Linked DNA regions of Oryctolagus cuniculus. The protein of the gene in region 1 purifies or fractionates together with the protein of each later gene. This does not show direct contact. Links are inferred from orthologs where the notes say so. Each region holds a gene or a part of one and is shown on either strand. Other genes may lie near its edges.

The links.
Region 2: the proteins of CAPZB (region 1) and TWF1 purify together in Homo sapiens (affinity purification with mass spectrometry; 3 studies listed by BioGRID and IntAct, with this or other methods). This does not show direct contact. The link is inferred for Oryctolagus cuniculus from reciprocal best matches to the Homo sapiens genes CAPZB and TWF1.
Region 3: the proteins of CAPZB (region 1) and WASHC4 purify together in Homo sapiens (co-immunoprecipitation; 4 studies listed by BioGRID and IntAct, with this or other methods). This does not show direct contact. The link is inferred for Oryctolagus cuniculus from reciprocal best matches to the Homo sapiens genes CAPZB and WASHC4.
Region 4: the proteins of CAPZB (region 1) and CNOT1 purify together in Homo sapiens (affinity purification with mass spectrometry; 5 studies listed by BioGRID and IntAct, with this or other methods). This does not show direct contact. The link is inferred for Oryctolagus cuniculus from reciprocal best matches to the Homo sapiens genes CAPZB and CNOT1.
Region 5: the proteins of CAPZB (region 1) and rho GTPase-activating protein 17 purify together in Homo sapiens (affinity purification with mass spectrometry; 3 studies listed by BioGRID and IntAct, with this or other methods). This does not show direct contact. The link is inferred for Oryctolagus cuniculus from reciprocal best matches to the Homo sapiens genes CAPZB and ARHGAP17.
Region 6: the proteins of CAPZB (region 1) and WASHC5 purify together in Homo sapiens (co-immunoprecipitation; 4 studies listed by BioGRID and IntAct, counting the BioPlex papers as one, with this or other methods). This does not show direct contact. The link is inferred for Oryctolagus cuniculus from reciprocal best matches to the Homo sapiens genes CAPZB and WASHC5.
Region 7: the proteins of CAPZB (region 1) and CNOT6 purify together in Homo sapiens (co-immunoprecipitation; 3 studies listed by BioGRID and IntAct, with this or other methods). This does not show direct contact. The link is inferred for Oryctolagus cuniculus from reciprocal best matches to the Homo sapiens genes CAPZB and CNOT6.

Annotation. Positions count from the first base shown.
Region 1 is NC_091438.1:151,256,985-151,261,417, reverse strand, and holds the end of CAPZB (F-actin-capping protein subunit beta), read right to left. Parts: intron 3,684-4,433; coding exon 3,581-3,683; 3' UTR 3,571-3,580; intron 1,402-3,570; coding exon of another isoform or gene 1,314-1,401; 3' UTR 601-1,313; downstream 1-600. UniProt on the Homo sapiens protein: F-actin-capping proteins bind in a Ca(2+)-independent manner to the fast growing ends of actin filaments (barbed end) thereby blocking the exchange of subunits at these ends.
Region 2 is NC_091440.1:134,928,702-134,932,386, forward strand, and holds part of TWF1 (twinfilin-1), read right to left. Parts: intron 2,860-3,685; coding exon 2,681-2,859; intron 1,183-2,680; coding exon 1,087-1,182; intron 1-1,086. UniProt on the Homo sapiens protein: Actin-binding protein involved in motile and morphological processes. Inhibits actin polymerization, likely by sequestering G-actin. By capping the barbed ends of filaments, it also regulates motility.
Region 3 is NC_091442.1:107,794,123-107,797,807, reverse strand, and holds part of WASHC4 (WASH complex subunit 4), read right to left. Parts: intron 2,628-3,685; coding exon 2,574-2,627; intron 2,493-2,573; coding exon 2,427-2,492; intron 1,418-2,426; coding exon 1,372-1,417; intron 942-1,371; coding exon 874-941; intron 1-873. UniProt on the Homo sapiens protein: Acts as a component of the WASH core complex that functions as a nucleation-promoting factor (NPF) at the surface of endosomes, where it recruits and activates the Arp2/3 complex to induce actin polymerization, playing a key role in the fission of tubules that serve as transport intermediates during endosome sorting.
Region 4 is NC_091449.1:41,893,896-41,898,229, forward strand, and holds the start of CNOT1 (CCR4-NOT transcription complex subunit 1), read right to left. Parts: upstream 2,914-4,334; 5' UTR 2,797-2,913; intron 2,413-2,796; exon of another isoform or gene 2,244-2,412; intron 1-2,243.
Region 5 is NC_091450.1:14,554,843-14,558,527, reverse strand, and holds part of rho GTPase-activating protein 17, read right to left. Parts: intron 3,049-3,685; coding exon 2,892-3,048; intron 1,252-2,891; coding exon 1,018-1,251; intron 1-1,017. UniProt on the Homo sapiens protein: Rho GTPase-activating protein involved in the maintenance of tight junction by regulating the activity of CDC42, thereby playing a central role in apical polarity of epithelial cells.
Region 6 is NC_091437.1:150,727,742-150,731,426, forward strand, and holds part of WASHC5 (WASH complex subunit 5), read right to left. Parts: intron 2,209-3,685; 5' UTR 2,081-2,208; coding exon 1,895-2,080; intron 1,091-1,894; coding exon 945-1,090; intron 325-944; coding exon 240-324; intron 1-239. UniProt on the Homo sapiens protein: Acts as a component of the WASH core complex that functions as a nucleation-promoting factor (NPF) at the surface of endosomes, where it recruits and activates the Arp2/3 complex to induce actin polymerization, playing a key role in the fission of tubules that serve as transport intermediates during endosome sorting.
Region 7 is NC_091437.1:66,992,867-66,996,551, forward strand, and holds part of CNOT6 (CCR4-NOT transcription complex subunit 6), read right to left. Parts: intron 3,613-3,685; coding exon 3,455-3,612; intron 2,442-3,454; coding exon 2,287-2,441; intron 1-2,286. UniProt on the Homo sapiens protein: Poly(A) nuclease with 3'-5' RNase activity.

The DNA.
Region 1 (4,433 bases):
AAAGGTGAGCGACAGGCCCTCGGCACAGTGCGGTGCACAGCGGTGACCAGAGCGAGGCCAGCATCGCAGCGTCTCAGTCGCCCATCTGTTCCGCTTGTGTGGCAAGAGCTGCTGGAACCCCCCAGGGTGGAGAGGACGCGAGTGCAGGGCTCTGTGGTTCCAGCTCCCGTGTGCTGTGCTGTGTTGCACTCGGGGTGGGGGTAGGGTCTTGTGGGCAGCAGGCGAGGACCTTCTGGCCTGGGGTTTGTGGGGGGGGAGAAAGGCCCATCCTGTAGCTCTGCGGGTTCCCCAAGCCCACAGCCTGCTTCCTCCCACTCTCCCACTTGAAAGGGGCGTGCCGGCACCTGGCTGGGGAGGCACGGGGGTGCCCAAGGACCGGCCTGCGCAGGCGCTCCACAGCCGCCCCGCGTTTCCCTACCAGGCTGGTCTGGAAGGCGGGGCGCAAGGAGGCCCAGGGCTCCGGAACCCACTCCCCGGCAAGCCCCGCACCTGCTCAGCGGCCGGGGCGTCTCCACCGTGGAGTCAGCCCTCCCCCTCCCGGCTGAGGCCACGCGGGCCTTCGAGGGAGGCGTGCGAGAAAGAAGACGGCAGACCCAGTGCTAACTGCGTCCCAGTTTCTTTTTATTTAATTTTTTTGTTCTTTTTTTCCTTTTTTTAAGTATGGAGGCTCAAGTATAAGATGTAGATATTTTTTGTTAAGCTTTACAAAAAAACAAAATAAAACAAAAAACTCCTTTTGCATTCCGTAAAAATTGACAGAAAAGCACCTGGCCAGAAGAGCAGCCCCGCCCCCACCCCGCGGCCTCCGAGGGACAGGGGCAAGCCTGCACAGGACGGCTGAGCCCCTCTCCTTCCGCCCAGGGCTGGCCCCTGTCCCCCGCCCCCCGCCCAAGCAACTCCCAAACGCACTGGAGTCGCACCTCCAGGTTTCCTTCTGTCTCTCACACACCACAGTTATTTCATAAAATTTTTTTGTTTTACATTTTTTACACCAATGTAACAAAAAGGGGGAGGGGAGGGGCTGACGGACAGCGTCTTTATGCCTAAGGGGGGGGCGGGCGGGGCGGACCGGGCCCTCGCGGGCTCTATGCAGACACCAGAGTTCTGACAGCGGAACGGTGGGAAGCAGGCCTCGGAGCCGGAGCAGGGCGGTGACTGGGCTTTATTGGGGAGATGGCGCTGTGCGGTCGAGGATGCGCGTTGTTAGGGGCCTGTCGGGGAGGGAGGGGCCGGGGACAGGGAGCAGAAAACGAGTTTTCTAGGAAAGGAACCTAAAGAGTGCGCGGCGTGTCCGGCTAGCGCGGAGCAGGGGCTTAGCTCTGCTGCTTTCTCTTCAAAGCCTCCACCAGGTCGTTCTTAAGCGCTTCTTGTTTAGATTTGTCTGCAAAAGTCTGCACAGACCTGCAAGGGAGACAAGGCGTCAACAGCGGGCCGAGTGGCAGGAGCACGGGGCCGTGGGGCTCGCGCCTCCCCGACGTGGCCGGCAAGGTGCTGGGGTGTGGGCTCGGGCACCCCTCTCCCAGGTCAGCACAGGCCCAGCCTGGGGACCGGGAGCCTGGGATTTGCTGCAGGGGGCGCGGCTCAGGGGAAGCCAACAGGGACAGTTGCTCGTGTCTGCCAGGCTGACCATGACCGCAGCTAGCGGAACCCAATGGTGGCCTCCAGGCTTCCAGGCACAACGTAGCAAGGACCCCGCTTCCAATCAGCTGCTGGGACTAGGAGGGGCCCAGGAGGAGGCTCGGCCCCGGCCCTGCGGAGAACAGGGGGCAGGGGCTGCCGCCTGGCGAGTGTTCCGGAAACCAGCGGCTGCACGGTGGCGCATGCTGGGTTCACGGCCCGTGAGCAGCTGTCAGCTTGGCCCGGAAAAAACCTTGCCAGGATTCCAAATGCGGCAGAGGAAAGGGTGGCCTGGGCCCCCGCTGGCGAACCCCAGGCTTGCGGGGTGGGGTGGGGTTAAAGGGACTGGGAACGCTGCAGTTCGTGGGCGTCACCCACCTGAGTGCTCTCCCCCACACGCATCCCAGATGAGCAACTGGAGCTTGGAGAAACGCCCCCGGCACGGCCCTGACCTGTCACACGCACTGGACAGACGGCCGGCCAGGCGCAAAGTGGCTGGCTAACTTTCTCAGTGCAGGGGCCGCTGGGCGCCACGCTGGGCTGGCCGTGCGGTGAGAGCCTCAGGTCTGACGTCAGACCCACGCAAACCATGGAAAGGAAGGGTCAGGTGTCCCCGCCACGTGTGCGTGCTGGGGAGAGCAGAGCGAAGCAGGGCCCAGGAGACTGGATTTTGGGGACCGAGTCCTGGAGACGCCAGAGTGGGCACAGACAGGACTCGAGCCGTCAGCACAGGCCGAGGAGCGCCCGTGGGAAACGCCAGCTGAGGCAGATTTTGCCCCGAGTTCTGCAGCGGCCAAAGGCAGGGTGGTGGCTCCCAGGCGCCCAGTCGTGGGCAGTGCTCTGCGGGCCTCACTGAGCTCACGTCGGAGGGCGTGACCAGAGAGCAGCGGCTCCCTCGCCCGGCACAGCTGGCTCTCCTGGGGAGACAGGACGCGGCGCTGGGTCCTGCCAGCCCCGCCCCGCAAGGACCAAGCCCAGAGTCAGAACCAGGTTAGAGCTGTGGACGTGAGCTTGGAGCAGCTGGAGGCCGAAGGAGCAGGGCCGTCACTGGGAGGGTCACGGCCGCACTCCACATAGGAAGACCACGGCCCCTGCTGGCTGCCCGAGCGCCGCAAGGCGAGGCTGGCGGCTGAGACGCCCTGGCCGTGAGATCCCGCAACCGTGCAAGGGCGGCAGCCCCGGCTGCTTAGTAAGCACCGCCACCCCCAGACTTCCCAGCAGCTCTTCTGGGCTGGGCCTCGGGCCTCGGACCCTGTGCCTGGGGGCTCGGCGGCCCTGCTGGCTGGGTCACCAAACGCCTCATTCTAACAGCCCCCGCCCTCCGCAAGAGCGCCGAGCGCCCTCATCCGTCCGTGTCTGTCACAGGCTCCAGCTCCGCCATCGGCACGGCCCCGGCACAGGCTCCAGCTCCGCCATCGGCACGGCCCCGGCACAGGCTCCAGCTCCGCCATCGGCACGGCCCCGGCACCAGGCCGCTCCAGCAGCAGCCGGTCTGGAGCAGCAGCATCTGGTCAGGGGCACGACGGCTCCCCCCACGCTTGTCCTGAGCCTCGGAGAGTGGGGTCCCCCGAGCCAGCTGCCTCAGTCCCTGTGCCACGGGGCAGGGTGTGTGTGGCTGCGGGGGAGATCCTAAGGCCACCCCGAGGCATGTGGGGAGCAGAGGGCAGCTGTGCGTGCACACAGCGGCCTCCGACAGAGCCCGCGTTAGTTCCCTGGCCTGGGCTCCTTCTGGAGCCAAAGCTGAAACCACCCGTCTCCCCGGGACCTCGCTCAGTGCACAGCACACACCACACACGTGAACGTGTCCGTTACGCGGGCCAAGGCAACATGTTATACGGCCGCCCAGCAGCCAAGAGCGCACGGGGGTTAGTGGAGGTTTAACTGGGCGCGCAGGGCCCGGCGGTTGGTGAGTGCTGTTTAGTGGGCAGCTGTCACGCCTGGCAGGCAGGGTACCTGGATCGGCTCAATTATCAGGCTGGATGTAGATCTGGCGCTGGGTCAGCACTTGGGAAAGCTCCCTCTGCAGCTGCTTAAACTTTTGGTTGTCAGGGATAGCGTCAATAGATCTACAGAGAGCGTTCAGAGGTGAGAAGCAGGCAGGGCGTGGGGGCTGGGTGCACCCGGAGGCTGCCAGCCCGAGACGGTGACTGCGTGGCGTCCCCGCTGCCGGTGAGCGCAGGCACCACCGCCGCTGGAGGAGAGGGTTGGCGGGGTGGGAGAGGGTCTGGTCGGAGGCGGAGGGCCCGACGCTGGGGTCTCTGGGCTCTGGCCCAGGAAGTCAGGATGAGAAGGGCCAAGGGGAACCAGAGGGCAGCTGGCTGGAACCTGTGTCCCAGACAGACCCACCGTGGGCGGCTCCGCAGTGGCTCAGCTGGCCTGGGACCACTGGATAGGGACAAGGGGGGTGGCCAGCAACGGCACAGCAGAGCCCTTGGCCACACACGGTGGAGAACACGTCAGACCTCAGCATCTCACCCCCCGTGCAGCCCCCTGCCTCCTGGACCCGGTGGGGAACAGGGCTCGGAGGAGACGCAGCCTCTGGGCTGCAAGGCCAGCTCGCTGCACTGACAGCCACCTCTCATGCCCCCATGCAGGCTCTGCCTCCTGCTCAGTCCTCTACGGACCCCAAGGACCCGAGCAGGGTGGGAGGGGCAGGTGAGGACCTCGGCTCTGGCTCTGTCCGCCCAGAGCTCAGTGGTCTCTCGCCCTCGCAGGGCCTAAGGGGGCTGCGCAGCTGGGGACGGAGTGGAGGCAGCCCGAGGGGCGGGCGCAGGAGCTCCGTCCCACGTGGAGTCGGCTGTGAGGGCGTTCAGAGC
Region 2 (3,685 bases), on another chromosome or scaffold:
AGGGAGAAGAGTACCTACTCTTCATTTGCTGAAGTTTTTATCAGAAAATCTTTTGTATGAAGTTTGTTGGTGGTGATGCTAGCCAATGAACCTGGTCATGCTCAAGTCTACAAAACAACTGTAATTAGCCTTTAGGGGGAATGGCCCTATAATTATCAATAATCAACCTTTATATTCTGAGTTATATGATTATTTAAGTAATTTTTCTGTAATTATTCAGAGGAAATTACCACACTTTTTATATAAAGAGAAAAAAACTCAAAAGTGGTCTACCTATCAAAACTTCACAGTTGGCTGGCGCCGCGGCTCAATAGGCTAATCCTCCAACTAGCGGCGCCGGCACACCAGGTTCTAGTCCCGGTCGGGGCACCCGATTCTGTCCTGGTTGCCCCCCTTCCAGGCCAGCTCTCTGCTGTGGCCAGGGAGTGCAGTGGAGGATGGCCCAAGTGCTTGGGCCCTGCACCCCATGGGAGACCAGGAGAAGCACCTGGCTCCTGCCTTCGGATCAGCGTGGTGCGCTGGTTGCAGCACGCCGGCCACGGCGGCCATTGGAGGGTGAACCAACGGCAAAAGAAAGACCTTTCTCTCTGTCTCTCTCACTGTCCACTCTGCCTATTAAAAAAAAAAAACAAAAACAAAAAAACCACAGTTTGAGACTGAGGCTTATAAAATTAAATTAAGACCACCTTACAATCAATCGTAAACACATTCCCATTTTGAATTGTGTCCTACCCACTAGATTACATTACGTTCTGAATCAGAAAAGCTCTAAACACACACAAACTGTTCAAAAATATTTCAATTTTCTTAATTTTTGTATGTATACCTAAACACATGTCATTACCATGTAAGTATTTTAGGATAAGTGTATTTCAATACCTTTTATCCTCAATGTCAAAGGTACAAATGAATGAATTCAAAATTAGTGATATATTAGCATTAACTTGTCTGATATATAAAAAAACCACCATTTTCTTTTAGTCTTAGGTTTATAGATTCATCCATGCAGCTTCATATCAATTATGCATTACCTAGGAGTTCTTCATCAGTCATTCTAATTGTATCATTGAAAACCTAGGTTTGTACCTTCACTGTTCCAAATACTTCATCTTTAATGTGGCCACCTCCAAACTCTTTTTTCAGAGTTGCTCTTGTTGCTGCATACAACATTTTTTGACGAACCTATTCAGTTGAGAAAATTCACAATTAGACATGAAAAGACATCATTAAAAAAGGAATATTCTGAATGTAAAAAAAAAATCTACAAGTACACTGAAAATAAACTGTGCTAAAACTGAAGCCCACTGACCATAACATGCTAAACGTGTACAAACAACCATAAAAACATGAGCCTCCACATTATCGATGACTATTAAGGTAGATTTCAATCTATGTAACTTTGTTAAAATGGAAAAAATATAAATTCTTAAAAACTCCTCATTTGTCAAAGCATAAAATGAGCTCAAGAGTAACAACCTACTTAAAATAGGGTCTTAAAGAGAAAACACTGAAATGAAGTAACCTTGCTGGCAACATTTTACTCAAAGCTAGATCAGATATTACTAATCAGGCTGTCAAGCATCAACTATCCAGGGCTCACTTATGGCATATACCATTCTATCAGGGATGTGGGATAAAGGGAAATATACTACACACCAATAAAACAGAGTCTGGAGAGATCTATGGCAAGTTGCTAACAAAAGCTACCAATTAATAGAAATAATTTCATAATCCTGCAGGGTCAAATGCAGTATTTCTTTGTGGGCAGTGTTTGTATTTCTTTAACTGACACAGAATACTTGTCCATTCAGAGGGTACCACCAGGCAGCGTTTTGTTTTGTTTTGTTTTGTTTTTTTTGGGGGGGGGGGGCAGGCAAAGTTAGAGAAAGGTCTTCCTTCCGTTAGCTCACCCCCCAAATAGCCGCTACGGCTGGTGTGCTTCAGCTGAGACGCCGATCCAAAGCCAGGAGCCAGGTGCTCCCATGCGGTGCAGGACTCAAGGACTTGGGCCATCCTCCACTGCACTCCCGGGCCACAGCAGAGAGCTGGACTGGAAGAGGAGCAACCGGGACAGAATCCGGCGCCCGACCGGGAGTAGAACCCAGGGTGCCGGCAGGGCAGGTGGAGGATTAGCCTATTGAGCCGCGGCACCAGCCACCAGGCAGCATTTTAACCCAGGGATACATGTGCAATGATCTGGTCACAGTAAGGAGTGGAGCTGTCACTAAGACATGTATCACTTCTGTGTGCTGGATCATATCCTCATCTTATCTTCTGTTCTATTTACCAAGTCTACAATCCTAAAAGAAATACTTGCTGTGCACATGTCCATTAACAATGTATGGGGAATAATAACAAAATGTAATACTCAATTAGTCCTCAGATTTAATACAATTATCTCTCAGGACAAAATAGCTTCATTCTTCAGAGGCCCATATCATTTAATATACCAGACAGTAAAATTAAAAATTTTAGGTAAATGCTAATTATTTTGATTTCAAGGGCAAGACTTCCGAATCTAAGTACATTATCCTGATTTTACATAAGCAATTCAAAGAATTTCTCTATGCGCATTTCCTTCTATGGGAAATGACTACTGCTTCTTAACCTTGACTTGGCCTAGAAACATTCAGAAAAATGTCCTTCTATGATTTAATAAACAAATTTAAAAATTACTTACATGAGAATGATCTGGAGACCAGGCAATGAATATCCATTCATATCCCTGGGCATTCTGAGAATCTAACCTGAATAATATGTAGCATGGCTGTTTGTCCTCCAACAGGGGTAAAATAAAAGGATCATAATCCTTATCCCAAGAGTCTAAAGGCTGACGAGAGGAGCCAATCACAAGTTGCTCTGTGAAAAGCAGTATTTAAAGATATATAAATGGTTTGAAATACCAAGTGGTAGTCTGATAAACACTAGGAGAATAAATTAATATGTAGTTATTTCCAAATTACTGTTACACCAAAAGTTGAAAAAAAAAGGTGGTAACAGAATATAATTACAATATAAAGTACTATTAAAACAGATATTAAGATTTTACGAACAGCATGATTGAAGTATTTAATATACAGCACAAGAAAGGAACACATAAAAACGATCCTAACAGTTAAGCTGAATGGTTAAATAATGGGTGAATACAGTTCTACTTTCCAAAATGTCTGGGCTATAAATTATCAACAAGATATATTTAAATAACTGTACTGCCGAGGCCAGCGCCATGGCACACTTGGTTAGCCCTCCGCCTGTGGCACCGGCATCCCATGTGGGTGCCGGGTTCTAGTCCCGGTTGCTCCTCTTCCAGTCCAGCTCTCTGCTGGGGCCCGGGAGTGCAGTGGAGGATGGCCAAAGTGTTGGGCCCTGCACCCCATGCGAGTCCAGGAGGAAGCACCTGGCTCCTGGCTTCGGAATGGCACAGTGCCGGCCACAGCAGCCATTTGGGAGGTGAACCAATGGAAGGAAGACCTGTCTCTCTCTGTTTATAACTCTACCTGTCAAATAAATTTAATAAACAAAACTGTACTGTCAGCCAAAAACACCATTTCTGAAATTAACACTTAACTACATATACGAAGGTGTATTACATAAAGTCGGTTTAGCTCCTGTTTGAGCACAATGCTATAGATTTTAAAATCTACCCAGAAGCCTGAGTTGGTACAATCACTGTGTGGTGATATTT
Region 3 (3,685 bases), on another chromosome or scaffold:
GATCCAGCTCTCAGCTACGGCCTGGGAAAGCAGTGGAAGATGGCCCAAGTCCTTGGGCCCTGCATCCATGTGGGAGACCCAGAAGCTCCTGGCTTCAGATTGACACAGCTCCAGCCATTGCAGCCAACTGGGGAGTGAACCAGCAGACGGAAGACCTCTCCCTCTCTCTCTCCATAATTTTTTCAAGTAAATAAATAAATCTAAAAAATAAAAAAAAGACATTGCTCAAGTAAAAGCTTAATCCTCACCATTAACTTTTCGTGATATAATTTGTCTTTTCCTACTGGTATGAAGTTAAATGCTTCCAAAGGCAAGAGGACAGGCCTGGCATTTTGGCAAAGCAGGTAAAGCTGCAACACCAGCATCCCATTTGGTGCCGGTTTGTGTGCTGGCCGATCCAGCTCCCTGTTAATGGCCTGGGAAAAGCAGAAGATGGCCCAAGTGCTTAGGCCCCTGCTACTGATGTGGGAGACCTGGAAGAAGCTCCTGGTTTCAGTCTGGCCCAGCCTTGGCCTTTGTGGCCATCTAGAGAATGAACCAGCAGATAAAAGATATTCTCTCTCTCTCCCCTCCCCTCTGGGTCTCCCTCTCTCTCTTCAACTCTTTCAAATAAATGAAGAAAAAAAAAAAAAAAAAAAGGCAAGATGAAATACTGTCCATAAATGAAATTACACAGACTTATTTTTACACCCATTTCCCTAAAAAGGCAAGTACATCTTTCAAGAGTTATGATTTCCTAAACTATAATCAATGTTAGTTAGTGTCTTACCCTCTGAGTATGCATCCTTAGCATCTAAAGGTTTCAGAATTTTAAAGATTATGTAATGTACTTAAATTTTTCAAAAACCTCAATAGAAAGTAAAATTCAGTTACCTGTAAGAATGAAATGAATCTTCCCATTTGAATCTGGCAATCACCTTCCACCATGCTAGAATCTGTAGCTTTAAAAGACAACATTTAGAATTTTATTTATATTTTTAACAAACTCAATCAGCACTGAAAAAGTGTTTTTCATTAGAACATCTTCTAAAGTGGATAACATTAAAAACGAAATTTTTACATGCAAGAGAAAAAGGAAATAATCATTAATCACACAATTAAAAGTAATTACCTGCTTCATTAATGAATTCAAAGAAAAATCTCATCTAGTTACAATGCTTTGTAACCTATGAAAATATCACAAATGAAGCCATTGCTGCTCCATCACTCAGTTTTTCCACCCATTTAACCAAATATACAAAAAACTGGAATGATTATTTCTCACACTAATACATTATTTAATCATGGCAGCGGTAGTACTGTCTATTATTTTTTGTTCATTTCAATCGTAAAAAAGGCATCACATTACAATTCTGAAATTTTAAAACTTACCTCCTTCTCCATAAAACAAGAGACCATTGTAAAATTTAGTTTCAGCCTGTTAAAAAAATTTTAAATAATTTCAAAGATTGTTATTGTTTTCAAATTACTAGTCTCTCCTATTTCTCTATACTTAATAAATGACTATCATTTATATACAAATTCATTTAAATTCAAAAACTGCTTACAACATAAGTAAATTCATTTTATCCTTAAAGTAACCAAGATATAACTGATATGCAAAGAGGTATCTTGGCTCCTTTAGCCTTTCCTTTATCTTAACTGATCATCCTCTTGGTCCCACATCCTCCCATTAGTTCAGGGAACAGAGAGAGCAACCACATAGTGTCAAAGAGGGGAAAAAAGATGCTTTACCATTTCTACTTGAGTTTTAATGGCTTTTGAGTAAGGATAAACAAAAGCACACATTAAATATTCACAGCTTTTTCAAATTTCAGTTCTATATACAGAAGCAAATGTGGCAGATCTAGATTCAACCAATCACTACCAGTAAAATGTTTCGCAAGTGGCAGCTTCTCTAAGCCTCATCTATTCCGCATGTACGCTCTGGGTCAGGGTAAGCATGAATTGTGTTTCTGGCACACAGTACATATTCTATGAATGGTAGTACTACTGTTAACTGCATCCTTAGTATTACTATTACTTTAAGTAAATCATTCAATAAATATTTATTCTACATTGGGCATATATAAGCTTATATTGGTTTTATTGAAAGAAAAATTTTTTAAGGGGCAGAGAGACAGCTCTCACTGCCATCCACTGGTTCACTCCCTAGATGCCCACACCCGGGCCAGGGTAAAAGCCAGGAATACAATCCAGGCCACCCAAGTGGCTAGCAGGAACCCAATTACTCACACCATCACCACCGCCTACCAGGGTCTGCATCAGCAGAAGCTACAGCAAGGAGGCAAGGAGCCAGAGCTCAGCCTCAAACTCAAGCTCTCTGATGTGGGGCACAGGCATCCTAACTGCTAGGGCACTTCCAGGTACATAACTGCTTTTCAATTATCTGTTTAAAGTTTTAAGACAATAATACAAAGTCTTACCTCATATTTTAATTTCTTTATTTCACAACAAAGTGCAGCATAAACAGTGATGACTTTGTTTAAGACCTAGTTTCATGAGAAAAAACATTTTTAAAAAAGCAAATTATAACAGTAAACTAAGACATTTTTAGATTAAGGATTCTGTACCTTGTTTTCAGTCTTTATGAGTTCCAAAAGGGAAGACTGTTCACAAGGCAAAAGCTATAGAAACAAAGGGAAAACAACAATTATTTTTTTAAAAGTCACTGAAATTTGAAATATACAGATTGAGACAGTTCTATTCTATTAAACTTGTTTTAAGATACTGCACTCAGCAAGAGGACCACATCAACCATTATGTCCAAAGCCACCTCACTAGGCAACACAATAAGGAAACCAAACAATCTCAGAAAGACGTGGCCCCAACATGACACAGTCAAGCTGCCCTCTAAGGTGTAAGGTTGTTCATTATGAGTGCAGTGCTAGAAAACGCAAAGTAAAAAGGTAATACCACTATTACTAAGCTTCATTAGTTACGACCATCGTAAAAGACCTTGCATGATTTTGGAATTTGCTATGCAGTCATATATTTAATAAGATATTATAATTAAAAGGATAAAAATAAGTGATAAAGAACAAGTATCTTTTCAGAAACACAACAGTGTCCAGTTTACTTACCTTCTAAAGCTAGCTCAATTTCCACTTCGTTCATAAAGGCTTTCTGATCCTCATCTATAAGTCATAGCTTGATTAAGTGAAATCTTAAGTTCTCTTTTGGTTACATGCTAACAGTTTCCAAGAATGTACACTATATACACCCTTTCTCATTAGATTGTAATTTCTGTTTACAGAGATTTTGCCTGAGTTTGTGATTTTCCCAAAATACTAAGCAAAGAATCCTGCATAAGAGCAAAAAGAGGGGGCCAGCGTTGTGGTGCCATAGGTTACGCATCTGCTTGAGGCACCAGCATCCCATAGATGTGCTGGTTCTAGTCCCAGCTGCTTCTCTTCTGATCCAGCTCCCTGCTGATGGCTTGGGAAAGCAATGGATGATGGCCCCTGCACCCACACAGTAGACTGAAAGACGTTCCTGGCTCCTGTCTTTGAATCTATTCAGCTCCAGTCATTGTGACCATTTGGGGAGTGAACCAGTGGATGGAAAATCTCTCTGCTCTCCCTCTCTTTGTAACTGCCTCTCAAATAAATACATCTTTAAAAAAAAAAAAAAAAGAGCAAATATAATAAAATAATTCCTCAACAATGGAACTACAAAGAGGTTC
Region 4 (4,334 bases), on another chromosome or scaffold:
TCTCTCTCACTGTCCACTCTGCCTGTCCAAAAATTAAAAAATAAAATAAAGTACATGCAAGGATAATTTGAGATTAGGCTCTAAACCATATATTTTTTTTTTTTTTTGACAGGCAGAGTGGACAGTGAGAGAGAGAGAGAGACAGAAAGATCTTCCTTTGCCGTTGGTTCACCCTCCAATGGCCGCCGCGGCCAGCGCGCTGCGACCGGCGCACCGCGCTGATCCGAAGCCGGGAGCCAGGTACTTATACTGGTGTCCCATGGGGTGCAGGGCCCAAGCACCTGGGCCATCCTCCACTGCACTCCCTGGCCACAGCAAGAGAGCTGGCCTGGAAGAGGGGCAACCGGGACAGAATCCGGCGCACCGACCGGGACTAGAACCCGGTGTGCCGGCGCCGCTAGGCGGAGGATTAGCCTAGTGAGCCGCGGCGCGGGCCTAAACCATATTCTTAAAGAGCTGGCATTTCCTTTTCTGTCCTCAGTTTTTTAATGTTTTAACCTAATATAAGGGGGATATCACAGTACTCTGCTTCGACAAGAACCATGCCAGAGACCAGGCTTAAGCCCCACTAAATATTCAAAAGAGATTTTAAAAAGAAAACTAAGCCAAGGTTCCCATCAAGTGAGGAAGGAAGCAAGGAGAGCATTTCAGTTCTGTTTAACCATAACGCCACAAAACCCTGCACTAAAACTTTGGTATGAAAGTCGTTTCAGTTACCAGTGGTCAGGTCTGGTTGCCTTGACTCTAGCTAAAGGACTCGGGACACACACTTGTTGAAGGGTCCAGTTCTATCCACATGCGGCACAGCCAGCTTTTATGTATCATCATCCCCATTTTCTCCTTAGACAAGGTAACAATTTCCAGTGTCCTAAAACACAATTATTTAAACTGTTACCATATACCCCAGTAATAACTAAAATACTGTGCTGCCAACCTTTGGAAGGGTAAGAATGCCAACCAGGAACACAGATCATAAGTAAATCCCAGTGTACCGCTGCAAAAAATAAATTTGGTCTGCCTCTGTTTGACCTACTTCCTGGTGTTTTACTCACCCATTCCCGTTTTGTTTTTTTAATCCATGTAGCTCTCTATTCCTTTCCAAAGAGCTGTCATGAGGGAAATACTCAAAATTGTTGACAGCATTTTTATCATTCACTTAAAAAAAAATCCACAAGTAGCCACAGGCAATAGAATAGAGCAACAGCAAAATTAAGTACTCAGTTTTCAAGGAAAAGACTTTTTTACTGCAGTCCCAAGAAATGTGACGTGGGGTCGGGTGACTTGAGGCGAGAAGTTTACTTCTCATACACTTTAAACGCAACGCTTTCCAAAGCTCACAGCCAACAAGCACTTTCTTCGCTAACCTACTACACAGTGCACTCCCGGCGGTTCTGCAGACGAGAGTGATACGGGGAAGGGGTGTTTGGGTTTGGCCTCAAGTAACACCCAGAACCCGGGCAGCTCGTCTCTCGGCAGCCGCGAGGCCTCCAAGCGCTCGGCTCACCAGGGCGACCCCCGCCCGGGCGAGCAGAACCGCCGCTGAGGCAGACACCGGCCCGAGCGGGTGGGCGGCCGGCCCCGCAGCAACCGTAAGCGCCGCGGCGCGCGAGTGGAACAAAAACCTGTGGCGAGAATGAGGAAGTGCTCGCTCCCGCCCGCCCCTCCCACCGGCAGACACCCGAAACACGGGGGGTTTGACAACGTGCTGGGGGCGGAGGAGGGGGCAGCGCGGCAGCCCCGGCGCCCTGGAGCCACCCGGGAGCCCTAACAACTCGGAATCCGGCTGCCTGGCCCGAGGAGCTAGGCCTCGGGGACCGAAGCTCGCTGCACCCTGCCGGGAGCCCGAACAGAAAAGGAGCAGTTGAGGAGCTCGCGGAGTTTGAGGAGGGTGCAGCCCGCGCGAAGCCAGGCCCAGGGGCCCCAGCTGCCACCCACTGCGCCGCCAGGCCCCGGCCGGGGGCCACCCCGGGTCTCACCCCGCACCGAACCTGTGCGCTTCCAAAAGCCTTCGCGCCAACGCCTTCTCCTCGGCGCCCGGAGCCTCCGCGGGCCGTGGGGAAAGAGTCCGTCCTCTCCCGCCTCGCCCCACTTCCCTGTCCCGGCTGCCTCTTACTCCCCGGAGCTCCGGGAAACGCTCCCTGTAGCCCCAGGTCCACCCCCGTTCCCTTCTCCCCACCCCGGCACTCGCGCTCCCAGGCTGACACCGCCAGCCTACTCCAGCCTCTGACCCCAGCCCGCCTCACCTCAGGCGGTTCCGGTGGCGCTGGACACAGGAAACTCCTGGGTCCCCGACTCCGGCTCTCCTCGACCCCCTCTTCGGTTAACTCCGCTTGTTTCTCTACAAAATGGCGCCGGAGGTCGCGCGCTCACGTCGCGGCCTTTCCCCTCCCCGTTCCCATTTCATCATTCGCTGCCCGCCCGAGGAGGGAGGGCCCCCGCATCAGCCAATGACCTCAGCCCGCTCGCCGTTCCCGACCAATCACCGTCAGGGACCCGCGGATTCAAACCAATCACAAACTATCACTTGCAGAAGTCAAGGAAGAAACCAGGCTCCTGCTAGCAACTACCAATCAAGACCCTTACTTCGCGGTCTTTGGCCAATTGCCGCTCACCAGCCCCGAGGGACCCGAGTCGGAGCCCTCGCGCCTGCGCTCCAGGCGAGGGCCAATGGGGAGAGGCTGATAACTTCGATTCGGGGCTTCCCGGACTTCCCACCTGCCCTCGAAGTCTTCAACCAATGGGGGCCAGCGATTGCCTCCGAGAAACAAAAAATCAGGGGGAAGCATAACTCCTCACCACCCTGCGCGGGAACTAGTTCGAATCGGAGTGCGACGGCCTTCCTCAACTTTCCTTCTTCACTTTCCTTCCTCTTTCGAAATGTCACGGTCCAGCACACTGTGGGGATGCCCAGTGGAAACATTCCCCTCCCCTCGGGTCCTTTTGGAGGGGAACGCCAGCAGGCAGAAAGCGAGCCAGGTTGGGACGCTTTGAATCCTGGGAGTTGTAGTCCCGCGCCTCACGCCTTTGCGGTCGCAAAAGTATGCGTTGCCTCCCGTCACCTGCGGCGCTGTAGGAAGAGCAGTGCATGCAGGGGAATGTAGTCTCCCACGCTCCCCCCCAGCCTTATCTTGCTTGGCTTTCCTTAAGGGAACTTTCACTTCTAGTCTACCTATGGGAGAAGTGACTCCTTTGGAAAGAGATAAGGAACTCAAGTTGTCTTTCTGGCTGAAGCCCTGGAAGCGCTGTGGAAACGATATTTCCTGTCTCATACTACCTTTTGTGCCTAAACACACTTCGTAAAACTTGTGGCAAAAGTACATAAACTTACTATCTTAACCGTTTTTAAAGCCTGTGGTTTTAAAAAAAAAAAAAAGATTTTTATTTATTTATTTGAATGGCAGAGTTACAGAAAGGCAGAGGCAGAAAGAGAGAGAGTCTTCCAACTGCTGGTTCACTCCCCAAATGGCCGGAACTAGGCCAACCTGGAGCCAGGAACCAGGAGCCAGGCCCGGTCTCCCATGTGGGTGCAGGGGCCCCAGGAATTGGGCCATCTTCTACTGCTTTCCCAGGCCATAGCAGAGAGCTGTATCAGAAGTGGAGCTGGACCGGAAATTGAACCAGCACCCATATGGGATGCTTACATGGCAGGCAGTGGCTTTACCCACTATGCCACAGCGCCAGCCCTTATCTTAACCATTTTTAAATCTGCAGCATACTATAGTGTTTCCCATATTCATAGGTTGTATTACAGACTCTAGAACTTTTCTTTTTATAATGTGTTTATCTTTTAAAAGACTTATTTATTTATTTGAAAGTCAGAGTTACACAGAGAGAGGAGAGGCAGAGAGAAGTCTTTCATCCACTGGTTCACTCCCCCGGATGGCTGCAACAGCTGGAGCTGCACCGATCTGAAGCCAGGAGCCAGGAGCTTCCTCCAGGTCTCCCACGTGGGTGCAGGGGCCCTAGGACTTGGACCATCTTCTACTGCTTTCCCAGCCCATAGCAGAGAGCTGGATGGGAAGTGGAGCAGCCAGGACTCAAACCAGCACCCATATGGGATTCTGGCGCTGTAGGCAGGGGCTTTACCGGCTACACCACAGCACTGGCCCCTAATGTATTCATTTATAAGAGACACAGAGAGATATTCCATCTACTGGTTCACTCTGCAGGCAGATGTCAGAAGCTGGGAACTCAATCCAGTTCTCTTGCATAAGTAGCAAGAAATCAATTACTTGACCTATCACTGATCCCTCCCAGGGTGTGTATTAGCAGGAAGCAGAAATCATAAACTGGGAGGAGAAGTGAACCTGGGACTTGAAACCAGGCATGCCAAC
Region 5 (3,685 bases), on another chromosome or scaffold:
GAAAAACGTATGGGTAAACAGGCCAGCCTGGTTTCACACACTTTAATGAGGGGATTTCCGAAAGTTCATGGAAAAAGAGTTAAAAGATGGTTATTTTGGTGCAAAAAAAGTTGAAACCCAAGCATATGTTTATCATAATGCACATTTTCCATGAACTTGTTAGAGACCCTTCACATTTTATTTCAAATACACTTAGTGCTTTGCAGGTGGCCAACACAAAGCAAATGGCAAGGAAACTCCAGCACACAGCAGGGCTCTTTTGCAGGACAGACACCACCTGCAGTGGCCTCGGGGGCCATCTGCTCAGGGCAGCGTGGGGAACTGAAAGAACACAAATTAAGTGAAGATCTCAGGTTCGAAGGCACCTTCTTGTAGAGTTGCTATACATCTGAGCCCACTCTTGGTGGTTTTTCAAATGGTTAAGCAACCTAATAAGCCTTTTTTTTTTTTAAAAAAAAAAAACCACTGTATTTTCTAACTTTTACTTATGTGTCAATTTCCATGCAGAACTGAAAGACCCAAGGGGTGTGGGAAGTCACAGTCACCTCCTGTGCCTGCATGATGCCTGGCACGTACCAGTTACTCCACAGATGTCTGATTAAATGAAACAATGAATGCCGGGAATATTATGACCTGACAAGCCGCTACACTGAAATGCTGACTAGTTAGCACAATGGAGGACAAGAAGCAAATGTCACACAGTTACACATCAGACAAGGAAACAAAGTCTGTCCTACTGTTAGACACCTGCTGGCTTCCAGCACCAAAGCAGCATGGCAAAGAATGTACACAAGTGCTGCCTTTTTTTTTTTTTTTTTTTTCCCCACAAAACAGAAAAGGAAGCAAGGGATTTGCAGTCCTTCTTCCGTCCTTTGCCAACTGGAGGAGTGAAAGCAAATCTGGGTCACTCCATACCACAGTGGTTCTTTGGGCGTGGATGCCAGACCCAAAGGTGACCACGTGCCAAGAGCCCCGGGGCCCCCAGCCTCCACTCCCAGCAGAAGTCGGCCTCCTTACCTGCTGTCGCCCGGGCTCAGCCCCTGCTCCAGTGTGCCCGCAGAGGAGGGAACAGTCCCACCCCCTGAGCTGCTTTCAGCCCTAGAGCCCTGGGGAGGGGTCTCTGGGCCCGCTGGAGCCAAGGTGCTGCCATCTGTGGGTGGGAGTGGCGGCTGGAAAGCGGGGGACATGTGCTTTCTATTTAGAGTGCCACCCCGCCGGTGGGCCTGGAAGTCCATAAGCTTCACACCAAAGCTACACAGAGAGAAGAAACAGTCAACACACCATGCGAGCCGACCACGGAGACAGAAGCCCATCGGTCCACACGTGTTCAAACCACACGTGGGACGGCCACCCAAGTTGCCCGGCATGCAGCGAAGCGGCACAGACCAGATCAATGGTCACCCCTGTCACCGAGGCCTGCAACTCAACTTGGCTTCAAATCTGAGCCAAGCCAACAGATGCAGCGCGGACAACGTCCCAGGCGGAAGCAGCTGAGAGCAAACGGGCAGGCTTGTCCCGAGTGGCAGGATGCTAAGGTGTTTATTTCTACACTACCGAATTCCATCTCAAAACTGTGCTCGGGGAGTGTGGTGGAGGCTGAGGCCAGGATGCCACCTGGTGGCAGTGGGAGGTCCTGACGCTAGGATGCGATGGGCAAGCTTTCACAGCTGCCTGTGAAAACGCAAAGACGCATAAGCCTGGAAGATAGCGCTTTGGGAAGGGCCTGGTGTCTGGAGAACCGCACGGAAGGCAGACTCGCTTCTCACAGAAGCCCTTGGTATCCGAACTTGAAAACTCAAGTTTTCAAGCCCCTGGGCTTGAAAGTTTCCATGGCCCCTGGACTCATGTTTACTGGGTGGGCTGGCACCCAGGCGGGCGGCTGACAAGTGTGTGTCACAGGCTCACTGGACTCAGAGCACTGCATTTTACAACTTAAAGTCTATGAAAGCTTATTTTGTCACAGGTAGCGTCTGTCTTTAGGAAACACTACTGATGTGTGTGAGGAAGGGCTCAGATGAGCAAAACTTCTGTACGGAATAACTGTAGGTTTCAGAGCGACAGAATAGCACAGTAAAACATTTTCCTTTGCTAAGCATAAAAACCCCAAACAAAGCAAAACAAAACAAACATTTTGCTGTAGGACTTGCTGATTAAGAAAAAAACAAGAGCATATTGTTCAGTTTGTGAAACTATTTGCAGCAATATTGTTACATATATGCAAGGAAAGCGCGTTCCTTCTGAAGGCCTCTTAGCTCTTTGTATTACAGGTGAATACAGCAGCATTGCATCATACACACTGGGAAGGCTGGCAGCTGAAGGCCAGAAATTCACAAGGTTTTAATTACCCTCAGAGAGTCCCACAAATTTCCCACAAAGCATATAGGGAAATACTGCTTCTCACTCGGCCCAACCACCCTTTCCTTCCCGAATTGGCAAATACTGAGGCTTCGCCTGAACGTCAAATTCAGTGGCTGGCTTGACTGTGAAGCCACCCAATGTCCACCCAATGTCAAATCACACAACTCACGGAGAGAGGTGAGCTGTTCTCACATTCATCCCAGACACAAGTCCACACTATTTAATTATTTTTCCTTCCTCTCTTGTTGGGTGGATTTGTAGCGTGTGTATGATGCCGTTCCACTGTGGGGCTGCCCAGAGACCACCAAGTTAAGCTCACATGTTAGCTGACAAGCTACATGTTTTACTCTACAGTCAGGCTAAGGCTCAGAATGAGCTACAACATGAAAACTGCGTGGGTTCTTCCAGTCACAGATGCACAGGGGCCACTCTCGAATCACAGGCTCACTGTGCCCAGACGAGATACTGCAGGCCTAACGATTCTCCCGCATGGAATCTACTGCTGGTTTGGAAGTGACCAGCTCTCAACACACCTCTCCTTCTTCACCAAGTCTCCTTCCATCACCGCCATGCTGGCAGGCCGCTTCCTTTCCAGGGTCCCTGAGTCAGAGTCGTTTCCAGTGTGGGATGAGTGATTAGAATTTGGGGTGGCAAGAGGCACAAATGCTTCTGATACATTGAACTCCACCTCTGCAAAAAGACAAATAAACAAACGCATGAGCCCCAGAGCAAGGGGGGTCAAGGGAGCTCTAAGACACCCCCACTGGAACAGGAGCCTCCTCCTTCAGTCTGGAAGCCCTCCCTGTTTTGCAAGTAGTGGCTGCAGGTGCTCGCATCTTAAGAATGATTTCTTAAGCCAGTGGGAAGTAAAGTATGAGAACCAGAGATAGGGGAAGTGGCACGATTCGGAATATGCGTTACACAACTCATCTGCTTTCTCTTTCATGGTTAAAAAAAAAAAATCATGGGAAAAATCAGAGTGCCTGGGTTTAAGTCCCAGCTCTGCTTCCAATTCCAGCTCCTCGCTAATGTGCACCTGGGAGGTAGCTGGCGATGGCTCAAGCAGCTGAGTCTCTGACACCCACATGGGAGAGATGGATTGAGTTCCAGGCTCCTGGCTTTGGCCTGGCTCAGTCCTAGCTGTTGCAGGCATTTGTGGAGTGAACCAGCATTTAGAAGATCTCTATGTCTCATTCTGTGTCTGTCCCCCTTTGACATAAAACAGAAGAGGACAATGAGCCCAGATTACTCACTCGAATCACTTACACAGTGAGAGACAGCTACGCCTCGCGATCAAGTAGAACTACAAGGTGCTATCAAGGGCACA
Region 6 (3,685 bases), on another chromosome or scaffold:
GACAGAATTCTTACACCGAGGAAGCTCATAGCCTCCACATAATCTTTCATTACTTGTAATTTTGTTCTTACTCATATTCTAAATTCAGGCATAGATTTGGTGGCTAGAAGATAATTATCAGTTGGTTTTGCTTCTCTTTAAAGAATGATATTCTGTATATATTTGTGACTTACAAGGAAAAAAATGACGCTAAGTTTGACATTCTTGAATTTCCGTTTTAAATGGTCACCATTACTCACCAGAAGTTGCTTTCCATCTTCATTGAGAAGCACAGTTTCTATTGTCTGCTGAATATAGACCCCTTCATTGAGGTCATCTAGATATCTGCGAACGAAGCCCCAGAGCAAGTTATTTGTTTTAACAGAAACTTGAACATCTTGAAGAAAGAACAACTTTTAAAAAACAAGACAGGATACCAGATATTCTGGCCTTCGACAAGTTTGTGGTGTTTCATGCTCTTAAAAAATAGCATTATAAGCCATAATTCATAGTGATTTAGGGCCACAGGTTGATATTTATGCATGTTCCAAGTAAAAGGTCCTGATTTATGAATTCCAAGTATCTTAGGAATAATGACATAACAGCTTGGAATAGTTATTTAAAAGCTAATGATAATGAATTATTAAGAACTGCAGAAGACACAAAGCTAACTAAAAGACTAAGTTCCTTTCCTTCCCCTCCCCAAATGTCTCATCTATATATAATATGCTGGAATATGCTACTGAACTATAGGACTGCAACCTATATACTAAGTTTATTATGATACTTCACAGGAACAGGCATTATAAGATTCAAAAGTATTAAAGATGACTACTGCTACAAGAAAGAAAAGGCAATTGCAAATAGCAAATCTGGTAGTAACAAAAAGATGTACTTTCTACTGTGACCCTTCTCCCTCTTCACTGTTTACTATTAGAATAGGCTGTTACTAAGTTCATCAATACCTGTTTAAGTCTACAATATATTTATGCACACTTTGAAACGCTAAATAAAATCTGGTCACAATTTCTATGTTGTTTTCACGAAATTCTTCATCTAAATCCTGTAGCTCTGGTTTAGCTTCCAGTTTGCTTTCCCATAACTCTGGACCCTACGAAGAAAAACACATTTACATGAAATGTCAACAAAAGCATATGTGTTGGCAACAATTTCTTAGTAGTCTTTTGAAAAATTTGTCCTTATGTTCCTCAATATCAAAAACTTAAAGCAGAGAAACAGAAAGTCATGAAGATAACAGAAGCCTAGATATAAAATGCCTTTGACAGTAATGAAGTTGAATTGTAACCAAGACAGGCATGCTTTGAAGAGCAGAACAGTCAACGTGAAATACAGAACAGCAAACTTTTCTTTTTAAAATTTGATTATATCATGGGAAGACTTCCATGCAGTACTGTCATCTGATTTTCAAGTTAATAGGTGAGGGGCCGGCACTGGGACATAGCAGGTAAAGCTGCTTCCTGTAGTGCCGGCATCCCATAAGGGCGCCAGTTCAAGTCCCAGCTGCTCCACTTCCAATCCAGCTCTCTGCTATGGCCTGGGAAAGCAGTGGAGGGTGGCCCAAGTCCTTGGACCCCTGCATCTACATGGGACGCTCAGAAGCTCCTGGCTTCAGATCGGCCCAGCTCCAGCCACTGCGGCCATTTGGGGAGTGAACCAACGGATGGCAGACCCCTCTCTTTCTCTCTGTAACTCTGCCTTTCAAATAAATAAATATATAAACAAACAAATGAATAGCTAAATCTTAACAAAAAAAATAGCTGGTGCCACATTTGGTTCAAAAGTTTTGCTCTGTAAATCTCTCTATAATTACCTAACCTCTTAGAGTCTCATGGTTCCAAGGAAAACATGCTTGTATAGAAAAGATAGCAACAAAAATGCTACAGAAAGAGATTACCTTAAAATAGCTGAAATCAAATATGATATCTCCATATTTCTGTTGATCAACTCGGTCTTTTAACCTGAACACAGCAGGAATGAACTCCGACAGCCTCAAGAGTTCAGCAATGATGGCATTGCCGCAGGAAACAATCCTCAGGATGGCCTGGCCACAGAGGTTGTTCTCGGCTAGAAAGTCCAGCATGGTAACAGGGGTCGAGTACGCTGTCCGGACGATGAGAACAATGAGCTTGCTTCAGAGCCAGAGTCTGTAGATCAATAGATGAAACCAGGTCTGTGGATCGACCAGCTGCTCCATGAAACGACCTACATCTAAGAAATTTTAAAAAGGTATAAAAGTTTCCATGTCAAAGGACGTACCTGCATATAAACATGGCATCGTATTTTCCCTCAATCCCCCTCAAAAATTCAACTCCCCTAAAGGCTTATAATGAGTTCTGATACGGGGAGAAGGGCAAATGTTATTGACTGTTTATGTGGAGGGACTTCAACAGATTAACATTCTTGACATCTTTCTCAATCTTTTATTCACTTCTCATAAAGAAAGACAAAATTGTTCATTTTTGAGCTAGGGCAAAGGAATACATATGCAGTTCCAATGCACTCTAATTGCAGAAGCAAATCTATGATTGAATATAATAGCCAATCATTGTAAACACTACCAACAGAGCTGACATATCTCTACACATATCTTGAGGTATCTGCCCCAAGTATTTCCTAGAAATGGAATTGCAGGGCTAAGGTACAGCATGTCCAAGACTGCTTTTAAAATTACAGATGCCAGAGGCAGGCACTGTGGTACAGTGGGTTAAGTCACTGCTTGGTATGCTGCCTCCTGTATCAGAGAGCTGCTTTAAACTGGTTCCTCTGCTGACACCCCCGGGAGGCAGCAGATGAAGGCCTAAGTACTTGAGTCCCTATCACCCACATGGCAGACCCAGATGGAGTTCCTGGCTCCTGGCTCCAGCCTGGACCAGACCAGGTTGTTGCGGGCTTTTCAGGGAGTGAATCAGGGATACAAGATCTCTTTCCCTCTCTTTTCCCGCCTTTCTCTGTCACTCTACCTTTCAAACAAATAAATCAAAGAAAAGAAGAGAAAAAGAAAAGGAGAAACAAACATTAGAGCTACATTCTACAAAATTCTGGAAAGATGATTTATAAATAGTAAATTAAAAAGGTCCCAAATCTCACATAACTCAGCACACAGGTGTCTAGTTCTGTTAGCACAATTATTTTATTTCTCCTTTATCTAACGCACTGAGGATGGTCAGATCACTTAGTGCACTAAATAATTACTGGCAACAGGTCATTATTGAAGGCAACGGTTGCTATGCTTTACCTTGCCACTCCTTGCTGAGCACCTGTTTGCCAAGCTGGATATGAAACTGTTTAAGCAACTCACTTTTTTTTTAAAGATTTTTATTTATTTGAGAGGTAGAGTTACAGACAGTAAGTGAGTGAGTGAGAGAGAGAGAGATTTTCCTTCCGTTGGTTCACTCCCCAAGTGGCCGCAATGGCCAGAGCTATGCCGATCCAAAGCCAGGAGCCAGGTGCTTCCTCCTGGTCTCCCACGCGGGTGCAGGGCCCAAGCACTTGGGCCATCCTCCACTGCCTTCCCGGGCCACAGCAGAGAGCTGGACTAGAACTGGTGCCGCAGGCGGAGGATTAACCAAGTGAGCCACGGCGCTGGCCCTGCAACTCACTTTCTAGTGCAGAGGTTCTCAAGTCTGACTGCACAGCACAATCACTTAGAATATTATAGTTTCTGGAAGAAGGTTAGAGGCAGCCC
Region 7 (3,685 bases), on another chromosome or scaffold:
CCCTTAACAGATTACCACTTAAATCAAATTTTGGAAAACCTTCCAAACTATTATCAAGTATCCCACATCCATTTAAAGCTCTTCTCAGTTTGTGACCAACACAAATAACACCTTGAAATATCTTTATAACTTTTTTGGCCGGCGCCGCTGCTCAATAGGCTAATCCTCCACCTTGCGGCACCGGCACACCGGGTTCTAGTACCGTTCGGGGCACCGGATTCTGTCCCGGTTTCCCCTCTTCCAGGCCAGCTCTCTGCTGTGGCCCGGGAGTGCAGTGGAGGATGGCCCAAGTCTTTGGGCCCTGCACCCGCACGGGAGACCAGGAGAAGCACCTGGCTCCTGGCTTCGGATCAGCGCAATGTGCTGGTCGCAGCGCGCCAGCCACGGCGGCCATTGGAGGGTGAACCAACGGGAAAAGGAAGACCTTTCTCTCTGTCTCTCTCTCACACTATCCACTCTGCCTGTCCAAAAAAAAAAAAAAAAAAAAAAAAAAAAATCTTTATAACTTTTTTAAAATCTTATAAGATAATGTAGTCATCTTCTTTTTAGATTTCAATACTGGTATATCCCATTTTGTAATTTTTAAACAATTGTTTCCCAAAATATGGGTTTAGGAATCCCTCTACCATCCTAGAGGAATGTTAACTACATGGTTAGTTACAATTAACAACTGGAGTTAAATCCTAGTAAACACCTGAAGAAACAGCAGCACTTTAAACATCTCTGCAAAACAAGGTTATTTTTAATACATAAAAACAAACTCAGGGCAAGTGTGGTGGTATGGCAGTATAAACTACCACTTTGGAAGCCTGCATCCAATATCAGATCACCAGTTTAAGTCTGGGCTACTCCACTCTGATTCAGCGTCCTGCTAAAGCACCTGGGATGCAGTGGATGATAGTCCAACTACTTTAGTTCCTGCTACTCAGGTGGGAGAAATGTAGGGATTCCTTGGCTCCTGGCTTTAGCCCAGCCCCAGCTGCTGCAGCCATTTAGGAAGTGAACCAGCAGATGGAAGATCCCTCTCTCTCTCTCACTCCACTCTTCAAATATATAAACAAGTCAATCTTTAAAATAAAATAGACTTATTTATTAGAAAACTTCAGTTGCAGACAGGGAGATACAGAGAGATCTTCCATCTCCTGGTTCACTCCCCAGTTGGCCACAATGGCCAGGACTGGGCCAGACCAAACCCAGGAGCTTCAGTCAGGCCATCTTTTGCTATTTTTCCCAGGCCATTGGCAGGGAGCTGGATGAAGTGAAGCAGCCAGGAAGGACACTAATACACCCATAAGAGATGCTGCCATTGTAGGCAGCAGCTTTACCCACTATGCCACAATGAGGGCCCCAATAAATAAATCTTTTTTAAGAAGGCAAAAAATACACCCCTAAATCAATAGCATTGTTTTCTTGAGTAATAAATTTCTGTTATTTATCAAATAATGACCCTTGAGAACTTTTTTCTTTTTAGAAAACAAGATGAAGGGGCTGACATTGTGGTACAGCAGGTTAAGTTGCTGCTTGCAATGCCATGACCCCATATCAGAGTGCCAAGCTGAGCACCAGCTTCTCTTCTGATCCAGCTTCCTGCTCATGTGCCTGGAAAAGCAACAGATAATGATCAGCTCATGAGGGAGACCAGAATGGAGTTCTAGACTCCTGGCTTCCACCTTGTCTAGTCCCAGCTTTTGCAGGCATTTGGGGAGTGCCTTCTCTGTCACTCTGCCTTTCAAATAAATCAACGGTCTGGCCTACAAAATCATTTGGTCTGACCCTCCCAAGGCAATCATAGGCGGGACTTGAAATTCAGTAAATCTATAGCAGGCTAATTGCTGATATTTTTATGGCCCAGGGGGCCTGCACAGTGGTGTAGCAGGTAAAGCCACCTCCTGCAGTGCCCGCATCCCATATGGGCGCCGACTTGAGTACCAGCTGGTCCACTTAGGATCCAGCTCTCTGCTGTGGCCTGGGAAAAGAGTGGAAAATGGCCCAAGTCCTTGGGTCCCTGCACCTGCTTGGGAGACCCGGAAGAAGCTCCTGGACCCTGCCTTCAGATCAAGTCCACCTCCAGCCGTTGTGGCCATTTGGGAAGTGAACCAGCAGATGGAAGACTTCTGTCTCTCTGCCTTTCAAATAAATAAATCAGTCTTTAATTAAAAAAAAAAATTTTTTTAATGGGCCATGAATGGTACTATAAATATCCAAATGGCCCTTGGCAGAAAAAAGGTTCCCCACCCCAGAAATAAATAAATAAATCTTTATAAAAAAAGTTTTAAGATGACTTACTTTTCTACCTTGAAGAATATTGCACAACCATCAACATGTTTTCTTTCTTGTTCTGACATTGTCCTAGCTCGAGACTTAGGACTAAAGAATCCATTATACCCACGTTCTTTCAGTTCTACCAGAAAGAAACTGTAATACTGTTCCGTTTCAACCTCCTGAAAAATGGTAAATGGCAAAGTTATTACACAAGACAAAAATCAGTTCTAGGTACTAACTTTATATGAATAGTTTGAGAGCCTGAAGTAACTCCAAAGGACAGATCTGTAAACTAAAAAATGTAATATCATTTCAACGAAACTTGAATATCTACTTGTCGTTTTACAGATACTAGTTGCCAGGGTCAATTCCCTACTGTTCAGGAGTAAGGAATGGACAATCATATATGCCTATAAATGTCAAACCAATGTGAACTAAGAATCAAGAGTTGAACAGAGCTTCACAGATCACAACTTCAGATCCATGAGGAGAAAGCGACTTGCCCAGGATTTCACATGTCCTTACGAAAGAAGTAATGGAAACCCAATGATAGCACATGCTAGGTCTGATCCTTTGACCACTATGCCCTAATTATTCTGATGACAAGGCAAAATTATACCTTGGCAATATCACAATTTTAATGACTTTGCCATTCAATTAAAAAAGTGTATAGGGACACTGGAGTGAGACAGAAGGTGAGTATTTAGCTGTCAGAGCAAATGATTATAACCCAGCTTAACCTATTTGCTTTGGCAGTGCTGGGCTACAAACCGAAGCAGGTACAGCTAGTTTGTGTCGAGACTGCTGCTCTTCTAATCCAGCTCTCTGCTAATGGCTTGGGAGAGCAGCAGAAGATGACTCAAGTACTTTGGCCCTCGTATCCACATGGAAGACCTGGAGGCTGCTGGCTTCCAGCTCTGGCTGTTACGGCTATTTGGGGGAATGAAACCAGTGGATGGAAGACCTTTCTGTGTCTCCCTCTCTCTGTCTGTAACTCTGCCTCTCATATAAATCAATAGAATCTTTAAAAAAAAAAAAAGTTCAATAAAAGAAGAAAATAGGCAGTATTTTAAGAACCATTGAAGCTATGACTTCAAATGTGCCCATGTACTTCTACCAGTATACCTGAACCTTGCTTTATTAATGCTGAGGAATTTATGCTATTTATTTATACAACTTCTGTACGACTTACCTGAAGGCTTATGATATCAGCATTGCAGCTCAAGATTTCTTGAATAATGGCCTTTTTCCTGTAGTCCCAATTTAATGCCCATGATGGACAATAGCCGTATAACTGCCGGGTCGCATATTTATCACAAAGAACATTATAGCACATGACAGAAAACAAGGCTGTAGGAAAAATAACTTTACTTATTCACACACGTGACAGAAAACAAAAATGTAATTTCAGTAAAACCTTCAT